2 linked regions of the Rattus norvegicus genome follow. The protein of the gene in region 1 purifies or fractionates together with the protein of each later gene. This does not show direct contact. Links are inferred from orthologs where the notes say so. Each region holds a gene or a part of one and is shown in the gene's direction. Other genes may lie near its edges.

Region 1 (7,799 bases):
TTCTCAGAATCAAAACACTCCTTTCCAGCAGGAGTCATAGGAAGCGTCAGGAAGTAATGAAATTTACAAGGCTCGAGAAGTAAACAAAAGTCACAAGTCTTGTTCTTGCGCTTTACACATTATATGAGCAGTTATCACATCAGTGGAGAAAGGAGACTCACTGTCTACAGATCACACAGACACCTCTCAGAGGGCTACTCTTATGAGTCATTACCCAGGCTGGTATGGCTACCCTCCCAATGGAGCCACCATACTCCTGTAAATAACTCCATTCAACCCACTAGTTAACTCAACTAGACTTGGGACAAAGAATTTTAATCTCCAAGGAAACTGCTCCACAGTAATGGATCCCAAGATTTTGTGTCTATGAAATCAGGTAACCTCTGTCCACAGTAAGTTTGTGGGAGGTGCATGCCACAGTATGTGTGTATGTTGGAAGACAACTTAGAGAAGTTGGTTCACTCATGTTACTGTGTGGGTTCTGGAGATCCGTGATCGAACTCAGATTATCGGGCTTGTTGGCAAACACCTTTATCTGCTGAGCCATCCCACCAACCTTCATGATAAATTTAAAATATAGCTACAGACTTTGAGCATATCGACAGGAAATTGAGAAAAAGAAAGCAGTTCTGAAGAGATGGTTCAGTGGTTAAGAACACTGGCTGCTAATTCCCAGCACCCATGTGGTCACACACAACTGTCTGTAACCCCAGTTCCAGGGGATCTGGCACCCTCACACAGACATAAATGCAGGCAAAACACCAATACACATTTTAAAAGAATATTTTTTAAAGCAATCTTAAAAAGACAGGCCCAACCACCAAAAAGCAAAAGAGTATTGAGTTTGAAAATTAAATAGAAAGATCATGAGAGGATGTGGGTGAAGTTGGGGAGGGAGGAAGGGATTCGATAAGATCAAAATATATTCTCTAATATTCTCAAGGAGTAAATAAAACTTATCTTAGAGAGAAAGGGGGTAGAAGTTCTCATGTGGGTAGAACTGTGTAAGGAAACTTTTGCTTACCTCTTGATTATGAAGCACCAGAGGCAAAGATACCAGCACGTTTCTTCATGCAGTCGTGTAACAATCAGTTCTTATTCATACCTACTGAAATCCCTTCCAAATACATGTCACTTAAATTCGGCAATTCTCTTTAGCTGTATCAAGAAGGTAGCATTAAGAGATTACAATAGGGACTATTCAACATTATAGGTAATTAACTGCTCTTTGAATTACTATGGGAACCATATGTAGAATATGACCAAAGACACAGCTAGAAACATACTCTGACTCAGATTATTGCAAAACCGTATGAGATTTTTGGCGAAGCTTGTAAAGAGCAGTGCCGCCCGTAAGTTACTATGCAACATTTACTGAGTACCCACCGCACAAAATATAAAATGCTAAGTCAACAGGAACAACATTGGAGGGAAAACCCTGAATTCCAGAGAGATTGTTGATGAAGCAGGTGCTGTGAACTGGATTGCTGGCATGCCAGAGAGGGTACCTCCATTAAGTTTTATTCTGTGGAGAAAGGGAGAAAGTTCTGGCAGTGGAAAGAATATGGGATGTTGAAAAAATGCCTAGGATTCAGTCATGTGGGAGCATGCAGCGTTGGTTAAATTACTGAACTTTGGTTTGGAGGTACAGTAATACTTGAGCACACACAATTGCCGGGAGCAATAAATAAAGCGAGGGTTTAGAAACTATAAAAGAGGAAATTGATATTGATTTGTCGCTCCTGAGAGTTTTGGCCAGACACTGTACTTTATTAACTTGCATACTGTCTCCATGGGTTTATCTTCAACTGGACACTTTCAGCTCCCTCGAGTGTCAGCTTCCTCTTCTGTTCTGCAAACGAACACTTTAGTAAGTCACTTAATGATAGTGTTTTTGGACCCAAATAGCTATTTGAACTCTTAAGGGCACTCTTACCTGTTATTTACACACAGCTGTCAGACTGACACTGCCAAGCATGTTCCGTTCATGTCGTGACACTGTCCGAATGCCTTCAATGGCTTCTCACTTTCTAATTATTAAAGTCTTAACTCCTAGCTAAATTCTAAGTCCTCCACAAACAAAGGGTAGTTTTCAGATGAATAGCACTCCTCGTACTTGGGAACCTGTAAGAAATATAGATTCTCTGGTCCACTCAGGTCTACTGAACTAGCAACTCAATTTTAACAATGTTTCTGGCTGCTTCTTGTGTCAGCTTTGACTTCATCCTTACTTTTTTTTTTTTTTTAATAATTGAAGCTTCAGTAGTAGAGCTGCCAGATTTAGCAAATAAAAATGAGACAGCCAGTAAAATGTGAAAACAATAAATAATGTTTTTAGAATGTTTCAAATCCTTCATAGGATATTTACCTAAAAATTGGTTGCATGAAATTGAAATTTCTAGTGAATGTCCTGTAAGTATTCTGGATAGCCAGTTCATGAGGGTACACATCCAAGGCTAACTTAACATTTTATTTCCTTCCAAGAGTACAATGCCTTCCCTAACTTAATGTCTAATTAATAGAGGTGAGCTTAAGAGCAGTTTCTCTGGGATTTAGGTTTGTCTGGGTTTTTTTTTTTCCTCCTTTTCTTATTCCTAAGAACTAGCACCAGGGCCTTCCTATTATAAAAGACCAATAAATAGTTTTGGATGAATAAATGAATATATCAAAAGTAATCTTTCAATTATGGACTGGATTGTGTGTGCCTATTTTAATTAAAACAGTATTTTTCCTAATACTTAAAAATGTTTTAAATTGGTACAGCTTTTCACATTTTTTGTTGGCAGCGTTCAGGACTTGGTGGGAACAAAGTCATGGGCTCAGAATGTACTCATCGCCAACCTGGTCCATATGGTCATCATTGGGTAGAGAAGGCACCAGAGCAGGATGACAGAAGATACCATAGCAATCCGACTTTGGAGGCGCTGCGCACGCGCACAGTGGCGCTCAGGCCTGCGATCAGGGGAGGGAGGCGGAGCTCTGGGGCGCGTGCGCGGCGGCTTGAGGAAGGCGGAGCTCCCGGGCGTGTGCGCAGTGGCTTGGATCCGGGAGGCGGAGCTCCGGGGCGCGTGCGCGGCGGCCTGGGCGGCGGGCCCCTCCCTTGGCGGGGGCGCGCGGCGCGGAAGACCGCACGGAAAGGGGGAAGTCAGGTGGCCGCTGCTGCCACCAGCGCCACGGTTTGTCGCCAGAAGGAAGATGGCGGATCTGGAGGAGCAGTTGTCCGATGAGGAGAAGGTAGGCGCCGCGGCGGTGAAGAGCAGGGCGGACGGGACCGAGAGCTGAGACGCAAGGGCTGGAATCTGACCCCGGGCGGGCTCTGGTGGTGGGCCGCACGCCTGCGCCTCTCGAGCGGGGTGCTGCCTCGGCTCCCGGAGGCCGGGCCCCTCCGCTCCTTGTAGGGTGTGTGCTCCGAAAATAGGAAGCGGAGCCGGGCGGCCGCGGGCCGGAGCGGGGGTGGCGGGACCGGGCCCTAGGGGTCCGGGCTGGGGAGCGGCCGACAGCGGAGCGGCGCCGCCTGGCCTGGGGCTTTCGCCGTGAGGCGGGCGGGAGGGGGAAACGGCTTAGCCGACCCTCACTTTTTCCTGCAGTTTCTCCTCCCCAACGCGAAGTGCTTCCTGGTTCTCCAGGGTGTTTCCTTCCCTCTGGAGGTCGCAGTTTCTACATCCCGCCCCCTTTCCCTCCAACCCCCTGCCATCCATTTCTTTTATTAATATTGTCATTACCTTTTTTTTTTTTAATTGCTGCTCCCATGTTCCCCGGAAGGCAGTATTGTTCACAAAGACACCTCCCCCCAATAGTTGTTTTCTGTCCAACTTGGCCGCTTCCCCCCCTTGGGGCAGATTTGGTGACATCCCATCTTCCTGATAGGACCAACTCCGAAGAGGGCGAGCGGGTGCAACTCCTTTTACTGTGTGTTAAATGCTGTGACAGCACTGGGACCAAATGCAGGACTCAAGTTCTCACATTTGTGATACGAAATCTGATTGAACTGAGACTCTTGCCCATTTTCTTTGGCGACTGAGGGCGACCTCATACCTAGGGGCGAGTACTGTGAGGGGAACTCTATACATTTTGAATATTTTCTGGAAAAGACCGAGACGTTTTTTGAAACTTAAGACTTGACTGACATGAGTGTGGTGCACTTTGGAAATGTCTGACCTTAGCTTAGTTTTTAAGTTCCAGATAAAGTACACCGGTGTGGGAAACATACTCAATTTTAGTTGGGTGTTAGAGAACCACTAAGGGTAGATAACCTAACAAAATGGGGGCAAACATACTTTAATTCACAGAGTTAGACTCTTAAGTCCATAAAAGTTGCTGTACAGTAACATTGAATAGTGTTAAGCTGTTAATTGAAAATATACCAGTGCACACTACAGGAAAAATAATGTTTGAAAGTTCTTGGAGGGATTTTTTTTCATGTTTTGTTTTCTTTCATGTACTTTTTAAGCGCTCAATTGACTTGGAAGATAGTGAGAAGAGAATTCTTAGGGTGGGATTCACATTCAGATTTTATAACAGTATTTTCTAAATTGAAGAAATCAGTGGCTTAACTTTCTAGTGAAATTTAAATAACCCAGTAAATTGAAAACAGTGTTCTTGTCACTTTTATTACCCAGTAGACTTGTACTGTTTTAGAAGGAGGGTGTTCCATATGGATCAGAAATGGATTCAATTGTAATATTTAAGACCAGTTCTTAAATCATGCTTCTCTATTGTTATTTCCTTGCTTGTGATTTTCAGGAGTAAGTTTTAAATACTTTTTACACTTGAGTTTTTGTTTAGATTTTAGGTCTAAAGAAGGGGAGGTACTATGATGTGTAATACTGTAGTTTGTATGTGCTTATCACATAAGAAAAATAGGTTGCATTTTCTTTTTTAAGTTTGAAGTAGATAGTTTTATTACCCTTTACCTGTAAGTAAATTAAGATTTTAAAAGCCTTATATAGGAGGGAAATGGCAGAGGTGAACTTTAAACCTAAGTTTGTCAGAATTCAGGTTTGCTTGCATACTTAATGACATTATGTTCCCTTGAAGTTGATTGTAGAACTATCCTGGTTTTATATCTTGGTTTTCAATTTGTTTATTTTTAAAAAGGAAGCAGTGGTTCTTTGTAGGTTCTAAATTTATGTTTTATACTTAGTGAAAATGTTAACTGGTAAACTTCTGTTTTCATCACTTTTAAAAAGAAGTTTATTTTTATGTAATGTGAACATTGTGTGCTGCTGCTTTATAGTTTCTTACTGGTCCTGTGAGATGAGACATTTTAGAAATTCGTAGTTGGGTGTGGCAGAGCAGATTTGTAATCTAAGTACTGAGGAAACTGGGGCTGGAGGATCTCTAGGTCTGAGGCCAGCCTATAGAAAGCAACAACAGAAAGAGATTGACTGGGCGTTGTAGGCATACCTGTAATCCCACTACCCTGAAGGCTGATCAGGAGGAAAAAGTTTCAGTCCGACCAAGTTTAGCTTGATTTTCTGAGTTACGAGCCAGTCAGAGCTACACAGGGAAACTCTCTCTCAAAAACAAACAAACAGAAGGGGGAAAGTATCTAGGACACTAGGCTGAATGTACTGTGATTTTTATGGCTTAATTTCTTTTGGCCACAGTGTTAATAAGGAAGTAAATTTAGCTGAAGAAACTATGAAGTTCCTTAACAGCATTAATTTGTCATAGTGTGACTCTGTAAATTTTACATAGTTATAGAAACTCCAAGCCAGAAAGAGTTTTTCTTTCTTATTCTTTCTTAGTTCATTTGAATTGTATAATAAAGCATTTTCGTGAATTTGACACTGTATGAAATTGTTATATAGAGCTCAAAGAGAACCATTCTCAAACTCTGCTGAAGGAGGACAGTAATAGTTGAGAGAGTTTTCTCCCTGGACCAGTGAGCACACTTCTATGGCGGCTGCTCTTGGTACTGCAGCATTAGTGAGCCTGGAACAGTATATCGAGTGGAGGATGACCTTGAACTTTTGGTCCTCCTACTTGTACCATGCACTCTGTCTTGCTGAGTTTAAAGCTGGGGATGAAGCCTGGACTTTGTCAAGCCTCCTTCCAACTAAGCTTTATCTCTGGCCCCCTCCATTTCTATACATCCCTGTTCTCATTGCTGTAGTCACGTAGGTCCTATATTTCAAGTTTGCTTTGTTAAATTCTTTTCTGCTTGACCTGTACCTTAGAGCAAAATTTTGTCATCTTTATGATCATGATCAAAAATGTCTTACACAAATAATTTGTTTCTTGTTTGTAAAAAATAATTATGTTAGTATTGAGTTCATAATCTCTGGGTTGACAAGATTATCAGGTTGTAACAGAATTTCACCAATCAAATAGTACAGTTAGGTCAATAGTAGCATTTAAGAAAGAAATAAAAATTAAAGTTAAGAGACCTAGAAATTGTGTCAGATCTGTTTTTTCCTTTCTGTTGCATTCGCTATGGGCAAGTGTGTGTGTGTGTGTGTGTGTGTGTGTGTGTGTGTGTGTGTGTGTGTGTGTGTGTGTGTTGGGGGGGCGTTTGTAGATTAATTCCTCTGGCTACTTATATTCAAACTATTCTTTTCTATAGTCTCAAAAAATACCAGTGCCTAGTGCTTGGCATGATGATGCACCTCTCCAACCCCCACACTCAGGGAGCTTGGAGCCATCCCAAACTAGTGGCTTTGTATTCCTTTCTACTTGGAAAATTGTGACACTTTTCATATATGCTGTTTAATCATGCTCTGGTCCTTTTCTAACATCTTGAGTAGGTTTATCTCTTGGCCTTAGGTTCTGCTGAACTTTGTGAATATATTTGTAAATATGAGTAGTAATTGGCTCTTCAGAGGACTTGTGTTCAATTCCCAGCACCCACATGGAAACTCACAACTTTTTGTAACTCTGGTTCCGGGGTTCCAACACCCTCACATAGAAACACATGTAGGCAAAACACCAGTGAACATAAAATAAAAACAAGTCATTTTTTAAAAAGATAGAAATGTTATTCTTGCAATTCAGTTCAGATTATTGGCTCATTTAATCTCTCTTGAACTTAATAAATCATCATTGGTACTAAGTACAATTTTTTTTTAATGCTCTCTGGTTTACTTTTCTTCCTTGTTCTATAAGTACAGAAGTGATGTCATCCATAGCACCTGCCAGTACCCTGCATGCAACTAGTAAAATGGTTCAGTGAGTAAATAAATGAATAGCCTATAGTTCACAGAGTTGAAAGAAAACCTGTGTCATGAAGAATAAAAGCATATAATGTCAGATTTTTCTATGGAAATCTAGCTGTCTTAATTTTTTTTTTCCTAAATTTTGCCATTGGTTTTTAGAGTCTATTAATCCCTGGTGTTTTGTGAGGTACAGGTGTTTGCAGTTCAAATGCTAAATGTAATTTATATATGAGCAGCTTAAAATATTTTCCCCTCCTATAATATAACTGACTTAAGAAATCTTGTTATGCAAATAATTTCGAACTGCTAGATTTCACCTTAATGTATAGTTAATAGCGCCTTAACAAAAAGTAGGCTTGACTAGTAAGCTCTTTTGGAAAAGCTCATTCCTAATTTAATCTTGTGGATGAATTCTGTTGAACCAATATCTACTGTAAGCAAGAATTTCATATCAGCTAAAATATAAATAGAATTTCTTAGACTTCATTCAATGAGAAATTTTTATAGAATATTTCAGGACATTTGAGAGCCATTTTTCATAAAGAATAGAACTTAGCATTTCAGTGTAAAAATCACAGATCCAGAAATAGCAGAATAACAAAATCATTATCTAATGGCTTGGTTTTTTATAAAAGTTGAAAA
Region 2 (7,799 bases), on another chromosome or scaffold:
TCATGTAACCCTCAGTGCCCCCTTGCTGCCACTGAGATGTTAGTGACACTAGTACATTGTAATGTAGTCCACTCTGCTTACCCTTCCTCCACAGCTGGGGAGCAACGGCCAATGTTGCTCTATTGTTCAATGGTGTGGTTGGCATCCCTCAAGATTAATGATTTGTCCTTAATTAAGGTGAATTTCTAGACGTGAGACTTTTCTATCAACCAGTGTCCCTTGGAACATTGGGTCAACTTTCTTTCCTAGCAGAAATTCTCAAAAGGGAACATTTCCCCACACTCATAAACCAAGCACAGTATCCTGGTTTCTGTTTGAATTGGTAGCTCAGCGTGTTGGATTGATCTTTTATGCTTACCATGTGTGTGTGTGTGTGTGTGTGTGTGTGTGTGTGTGTGTGTGTGTGTGTGTGTGTGTGTGTCTGTCTGTCTGTCTGTCTGTCTGTCTGCCTGCCTGCCTGCCTGCCTGTCTGGTGTGTACATATCTACATGCACGCACACATGCACGCAGAGGTTTAGTCACTGCTCATTGGTAGAGTGCTTGCCTAGCATGCCCGAAGCCTGTGTCTGATACCCAACACTGCAAAAATAACTGAAACAGACTTCCCAGAAAGAGGCTATATAAACCAAATCCTGCTGATTTCCCTCCAGTTCTTTGAGTTGGTATATGTTTTACCTTCAGTCCATCTGGAAGTTGGTCCATATGGTTTCCTTAGCTTTGTTCTCTTTTCTTTGGAAGATCCTGGAAGTTTTAACTTCGCGCCCCGCCTGTTCATCCTCAGCAGCTCCTCAGGAGACTTCTCAGCGACAGAGTTCGTGTACCCCGCGCGAGCGCCCTCTGCCGTCAGCTCCATGCCTTTCCTGCAGGAGGATCTGTACAGCGCGCCGCAGCCAGGTAAGCCCTGCAGAGGGCGTGGTCGCGTAGCACCTTCCGGGAAGCCTTTCCTTCTCTTTGTAAACAATTCCTATTTGCCAACTATACTAGCAGGCTTGCTTAGGGCATCTCCTTTTATCCACCCACCGCAAAAGAAAACAAGAAAATCAGCCGCGTAGTTTTGTATCAGGAACTGAACTCAGTTACTTCCTACATCAAAGAGCAGTTGACAGTGCCACGTGGCATCCTTACCATTCTCCCAGCCTTCCTCTCCAACGTTCTGCTTCATGGTCCCTTGTGAGCCGCCCTTGCTCCAGCTCCAGCTCTCATGTTTGTATTCAAAACTGAGGAAACAGGAAAGGGGGAGTTTCTTACATCCCTCTAGCTCCAGTAAACGTTTCAGCTTTATCCCATTGGCCAGAAGATGTCATGTGGTCACTCCAGCTACAAAGGATTCTGGAAAAGCAAGTGGCCAAGGAAGAACTTGGGCAAGCCCTCAGCAGAGCTAAGACTGCAGACCTGGTTTCCCAATTCCAAGATCAGTAGTGTTCTCACCAAGTCACACCTTAATACTCAAACCTATGCAAAGGAAATGAGCTCTGTAGGCCCTCCCACCTTCCTGCCAATCAAGCCTATGAGCTCATAGTTGGCCAAAGCCTGGAGCCTTATTTTACAGTAGTTTCCCTACCACTAGCTCAGATCTTGTCTGATGCATACATAACACTATGGGCACACTATGGGCAGCAGCCACGAGTATCTAAAAGAGAAAGCTACTCCCTGTCCTTGCATTCCTGGGCTCTGGATGGATCAGCAACAACCACTGGCTTTTAAAGCAATCCCAAAATGCACATCAAGAGGGTCCTTGGGGCCACTGAGATGACAAGTTGGAAAGCATTTGCCACACAAAACAAGAGTCAGGTGGAGGCTTAAAGACAAGGAGGTAGAGCCAGGAGGATTCTGTTCAAAGTTCACGTCCTTGTCAAAGAACTGTCACTCCTCAGAGCATCATGGGGGTTGAGGGCAAACCAAATGTGAGCTCTTTGGAGACCAGAGGTAGCTAACATCAGAGCCCTGAGCATTTGAAAAGGCCACCAGCAATCTGTGGATGATCTGGGAAAGGGAGGTCTGCAAAGAGGCTTGGGTCACCTTCCACATGCTGCTTGGGACCGTCAGAGTTTAAGCTCAGGGCTGAGTGTGCAGAGAAGCCATCACTCTGAACCAAGGGAGAGGGATGTGAGCACAGCCGGTAGAGCAGCAGGGCTCTGTGAAGGAATCCCTGATGGTCCCGTTCTGCTCTTACCTAACAGCTCTCTTCCTTGTTGACAACCATCACGAGGTGTACCTCTGGCAAGGCTGGTGGCCCACCGAAAACAAGATAACCGGCTCTGCTCGCATTCGCTGGGCCTCAGACCGGAAGAGCGCCATGGAGACAGTCCTGCAGTACTGCCGAGGTGAGGGGTGGAAGGCCACCACAGACCTAGCCATGTTCCTTCTGAGTCTCCCGCAGCCATGACAAGGCTCCAGCACTCCCCTTAAACCGCTGGAGGCTTGTCGATCTTAAGATCAGTACATTCTGCCACCAGAACAAAGGAAAGTCCGTCTTTCCCTTTCAAACAGCAGGGCCACCCACATAGTATATTGTGGAACCACCTGCACTGACACCACTCTGAACATGGGGGTAAGTGGCTAAGTGACCTTCATGGCACAGTTCTCTCTTCAGGCAGTGCCAGCATTAGAGAAGGGAAATGTGCCCAAACTGGCTAAACGCCAATACCAGCCTCTTTTTTTTTTTTTTGGTATTGTATCCAATGATAACAACAAAACAACCAAAACATAGTTTCTTAATTAACATCTACATGGAATCCGGCCTTTTACAGAAAGCGCGTACCAGTAACTAATGTAAGCGGGTACCAGTGACTAATGTCCTGACTGCATGCCGATAGTTTACTGGCTCCCTTAATGCCCTGGAGTGTGTACGGTTGGTTCTTGCCATGGAGAGCTCTTTGTGGCATCTTTCAAATCCCACCAAATGCTCAGGCATCTGAAAGGTGCTGCCGTTGCCCGTCACGTGCTCTTGAAGCTCCTCCAGGGGAATGAAAGGGAAGCAGACGTCCCTGGTGGGAGTTTCTAGACAGCTCTCTGTCCCCCCAGAGGTTCATAAACGCTTTGCCAGATTGGAGGGGGGTTTACATCAGTGCATCTGCATCGTATAAACATGAGTCACCTTTCAGATAAACAGCACCCATGCGTTGTTATGATGCACATTTAAACATGGAAGAAAAATGGGAGGAGCCTGAGAAAAAGCAGGACAGACTCCACTGACATGCGCATTCTGTGTCCCCACAGGAAAGAATCTCAAAAGGCCACCCCCCAAGTCTTACCTTATCCATGCTGGGCTAGAGCCCCTGACGTTCACTAACATGTTTCCCAGCTGGGAACACAGAGAAGACATTGCCGAAATCACAGAAATGGTGAGCCCGGGGCTCCAAGGACTATGGGCATTGCAGCTGCCTTATTCAGTCTAAGGTCAAGACAGAGGTTGTCCCAGGATCCCTGCACTTCCTGTAGCTCATCGGGCGTGGCAGGGACTTGGGGGGACGGTGTATAACAGTGACGGCTCACTGCGTACTGCCTTGGCAAGGCCACAGCACCTTTTCATTTCATTACCAGGACAGTGCAGTAGGGTTCATCTTACTATTGTCTCCATTTTTACCCGTGTCAGAGCTGAGGCATAAAACACTTAAAACACATAAAACACTTGCCTCCAATCTCTGAGTCGCCAAGTGAGGGGTGATTCACGGGTGCAGGCTCAGCTCCTCACCCACTTCTCCCTGAGATTCGGCCCCATAGCTTGAACCTGAGCTTGAACTCATGCACCATCCAAGAACCCAGAGGAGGCAGCATTTCCCAGACCCAAGTATAAGAGATCAAGATAGCTTCCCCAGAATATCTCTCCCCCTTCTGTGGTGTGTGTGTGTGTGTGTGTGTGTGTGTGTGTGTGTGTGTGTGTGTGTGTGTATCCCAGGGCCTTTTGCATTTTAGGCATTTACTCCCCTCCTTAGCTAAACCCTTACCCTTACTTTCTTTATGTCTCATGTGGACTAAGAAATGAATCCTAGGGGAAGGGGAGAGGGCATGATTTCTTTTGAATGTGATAATTTTAAAATATATTCAAACAAATTCCACTATGTGCAAGCATCTAATGGTTTGATTTTAGGCCCAATAATCTTTCTCTGTTGTTCATTCATGGAGTCTGAGTCCCTAAACATTCATGCATGCATTCGTCCTTTCACTCTTTTGGAAGCAGTTCAGAAAGAGGTTTGATTTGAAACCTGCTGCAGGGAGAAAGGCTATGAAGACTAGAAGGTAATTCCTGGACATCTAGGCCCCCCACTGCACAGTGGCCTGATGCCTTACTCAGACCTCCCCGGGCTGTGCATAGATGGGGCATAGCTGGGAGTCTGCATGCAATCCATAGATAGCACTCGTCTGCTCAAATGTTCTATGCTTTGTCTCCAGGACACTGAAGTTTCCAACCAGATCACCCTGGTGGAAGACGTCTTAGCCAAGCTGTGTAAAACCATCTATCCTCTGGCAGATCTACTTGCCAGGCCACTCCCAGAGGGGGTAGACCCTCTAAAGCTTGAGATTTATCTTACAGATGAAGACTTCGAGGTGAGTGACCCTCGAGTGGGATGACACAGTGGGAGAGCATCCTTTCAGTCAGTCACTCACTGGGCATCTCTCGAATCTCTTCCAGTTTGCACTCGACATGACCAGAGATGAATTCAACGCACTGCCCACCTGGAAGCAAATGAACCTGAAGAAAGCGAAAGGCCTGTTCTGAGGGTGAGATGACAGCCACAGAGAGGTCACTGCCACTAGACCAGAAAGTGGATGGAGATATATATTTGGACTGGTGTTTTTTTCTGTCAGAGAAGAAAGTATTTTTGACTCAGAGTTTTTCAAAACCTGACCTTATTCGCTCTATGGCTTGTCCCGGAGTTGAGCATTCTGTAAATGTCCAGGAGTACTCTTCGGAGCGTTCTTTTCCACAGTTCAGGTGAACTGAAAAGAAAGCGTCTCTTCCGTTCCCCTCAGCCGAGTGCTGCCTCAGTGGCCGCTGCAGCCCTACCCTCCTCTTCCAGCTCAGCGTTGCCTTTTTTAAAGCAATTTTCTTTATAAAGTGTTATTTTGATAGTTTGTGAATTCTAAATATATATATATATATTTATATAAACACCATATAAAGCAACTATGTATTTAACAAGCTATGTATTCATTCACTTGCAACTGTTCCCTTTGGTGTCAAAAGGACATTACCAAGTGTAGGGCTGTGTCACTTCTGTTGACCTAGGCCTGCCACCAGTCTCTCCCAGGCTCAGGACTGCCTCCTCAGCCTTAGGTCTGGCTTGTGCCGAGTTCTGCTTCCGGTGCTAAAGCGAGCAAAGACTTTGTACTACTTCCCGGTGTGACTCTGAAGAATCTATCTGAATCAACCTTTCTACCTTAATGTCCCCCCCGGAAGTGTATAGTGCCTTGTTTTATGTACAGTTTATATACAGAAAAGTTTGCTCTGCTCTTTTGATGCCGGCTTGGAACCTTATCTACAGTTTTATTCTCAGTAGAGATAAAAACATCTCAATTTCTCATACCCATTGTAAACATTACACACGTCATTTTGTGACACAGGATCCCAAAAATAAAATTTCAGAGTAATCACAACTCATTGATCAGTTTACATTGAATTCCGTACCTGTTCTTTTGTGTGTGGGGGTGGGGGGAGAAATTCTGTAGCTGTCAATCAAGTCCCAGTGTGATGCATTGATACCAACTGCTGAGGCCGGAGCACAGCACAGAGCAGGAGTTTTCCGGGACGGTGTAAGGTTAGGTAGACCTGTAAATTTGCCGTAAACGTTGCGCATGTTCTCAATGCCACAGATGCATCCCTGCTTGTATTAAGATCTCAGTGCCTTTTCTCCAAGCATGACTGGATGTGTGAGGTGTTAAAGTGTAAGCTGTGGATGGGACCAGGGTAGGTGGCTCAGTGGGGAGCGCTCGCTTGGCATGTGGGAGGCTCAGGTTCAATGCCCAGCACTGATAGAAATTGAAAAGAGACAAAACCATGAGTGCTGCGAATGGGCCGTGAGTTGTTACACCCTGCCTGCCGCTGCTCCGTCTAGTTTAACATGTATTAACTTCCCAGCCCGCTTCCATGCCCTACTGTGGGACAGTACCAAGGCTGGAGCCTGTCGGCTGCTCCTGGACCCACAGCTTTATGACTGTGTGATACTGTCCAGTCACCAAACATCCCTGCCTTCCTTTCCTAAGAAAGGAGACAGCCTGTGTCCCCCAGCATCACAGATCTTTGGACAGAGATGGAGGAGATAAGCTTTGAAAATTGTCCAGTGCCTTGGACCTTCTGGTGCTGATGCTGTTGTGACAGGAGATGAAATAGCACAGAGGTGAAGTAAAAGGATGGAGTCATGCACCCAGACATGACGGAAAGGGGAGGACTCAAAGTGCATCTTCCAAATAGCAGCAAAGGAGGAATGTTTGCAGCCATTAGAACAATCTGAAGAGGGTCACAGAGAGACAGGTCTGCCGGCATCTGCAGCCAGCTTGGGAAGAGGACAGCATAAAGCCAGTGTCCCTGCTGCTTAGGAGACAGAGGAATATACCGTGGTCTGTTTCTTTCCACATTCCCTCCCCAGAGCCTCTCATCCAATGCTGATACCCTTTCCTCCTCTGCAGGCGCTTTGTGGACACAGAGTACCCACCCAGGTTAATATTCTTCATCTGGTCACGTTGACACCTGGACTTGACTGTCCCTGAGAGTGACAGCAGGGGCTAGGTCCCTGTCATCAGCACATCCCTCATAGCCAGGTTGTTCAAAGTGCTCTAAACTCTTGTGTCAGCACCTGTACCCAACATCATTCAGCAGTCATGAGCCATCATCCTGATGTTGGCCTCTGAATGAACACCTCCCCGGACCCCAGCTCACTGTCTCTATCCCTCTTTTAGGATCAGACCCTTCTGGGTCAACATTTTCAAAATCCTCTCATAGCTTCATGAACTTTAATTTATCTCAAGATGACTTAGAACACCTAAAACCTAGAAGAGCTGTACATGTTGAGTTCAACTAAGTCAGTATCTGTGGTTGAATGGATCTGTGGATGTGAAACATGGATACCTATATGTGTGTGTGCATGTGTATGTATGTGTATGTCTATATGTGTGTGTCTATATGTATGTATATATGCGTATGTGTATGTGTACATGTATATATTATATATGTATATAATGTTTGCGTGTGTGTGCATGTGTGAAAATCAGAGGTGAACATCAGGTCTCCACTCACTCTGCACCTTAGTTTTGAGACAAATTCCCTTAGCTTGGAGTTCACTGATGAGGCTAGACTGACAGTCCAGTGAACTTTGGGGATCCTCCTGTCTCAGCCTCCCCAGCTCTGGGATCCTAAGCATGTGTTGCTAAACACTTCTTTTTACATGAGTGCTGGGATCTAAACTCAGGTCACTGTGCTGCTGCCATAAGCACTTAACTGACTGAGACGTCTCCCCATGCAGACGCCATGCTTTTAAAAAGTAAATGCACGGCTCCACACACGTGCTCGGCTCTGCTCCGTCAGAAGCAGGCTGTCAAGGTGATTCACACCTCAGGCCACAGATATACCCAAGGATGAGATCAAAAGTCACTGGAAAAAGTCTGCTCCTATGAGCATGTTACAGATCTGATGTCCCTGCTAGACTGGGGACCAGCCACTGGTCTCACATTGCTCATCCCTGAGGACAGATTGAGAAAGAAAGGTAACAGCCCAGTGTCCTCACATGTAGTAATGAACAGGCACTCTCCTCAGTGTCTCTGCTTCACTACTAAGATTAAGAAGAAATCCCCAAAGCCAAATT

What was found. The genes of interacting proteins can lie anywhere in the genome.
Region 2: the proteins of Capza2 (region 1) and Svil purify together in Homo sapiens (affinity purification with mass spectrometry; 3 studies listed by BioGRID and IntAct, counting the BioPlex papers as one, with this or other methods). This does not show direct contact. The link is inferred for Rattus norvegicus from reciprocal best matches to the Homo sapiens genes CAPZA2 and SVIL.

What each region holds. Positions count from the first base shown.
Region 1 is NC_086022.1:46,940,902-46,948,700, forward strand, and holds the start of Capza2 (F-actin-capping protein subunit alpha-2), read left to right. Parts: upstream 1-3,138; 5' UTR 3,139-3,195; coding exon 3,196-3,234; intron 3,235-7,799. UniProt on the Homo sapiens protein: F-actin-capping proteins bind in a Ca(2+)-independent manner to the fast growing ends of actin filaments (barbed end) thereby blocking the exchange of subunits at these ends.
Region 2 is NC_086035.1:57,341,732-57,349,530, reverse strand, and holds the end of Svil (supervillin), read left to right. Parts: intron 1-738; coding exon 739-894; intron 895-2,180; coding exon 2,181-2,324; intron 2,325-3,219; coding exon 3,220-3,344; intron 3,345-4,392; coding exon 4,393-4,548; intron 4,549-4,633; coding exon 4,634-4,720; 3' UTR 4,721-5,621; downstream 5,622-7,799.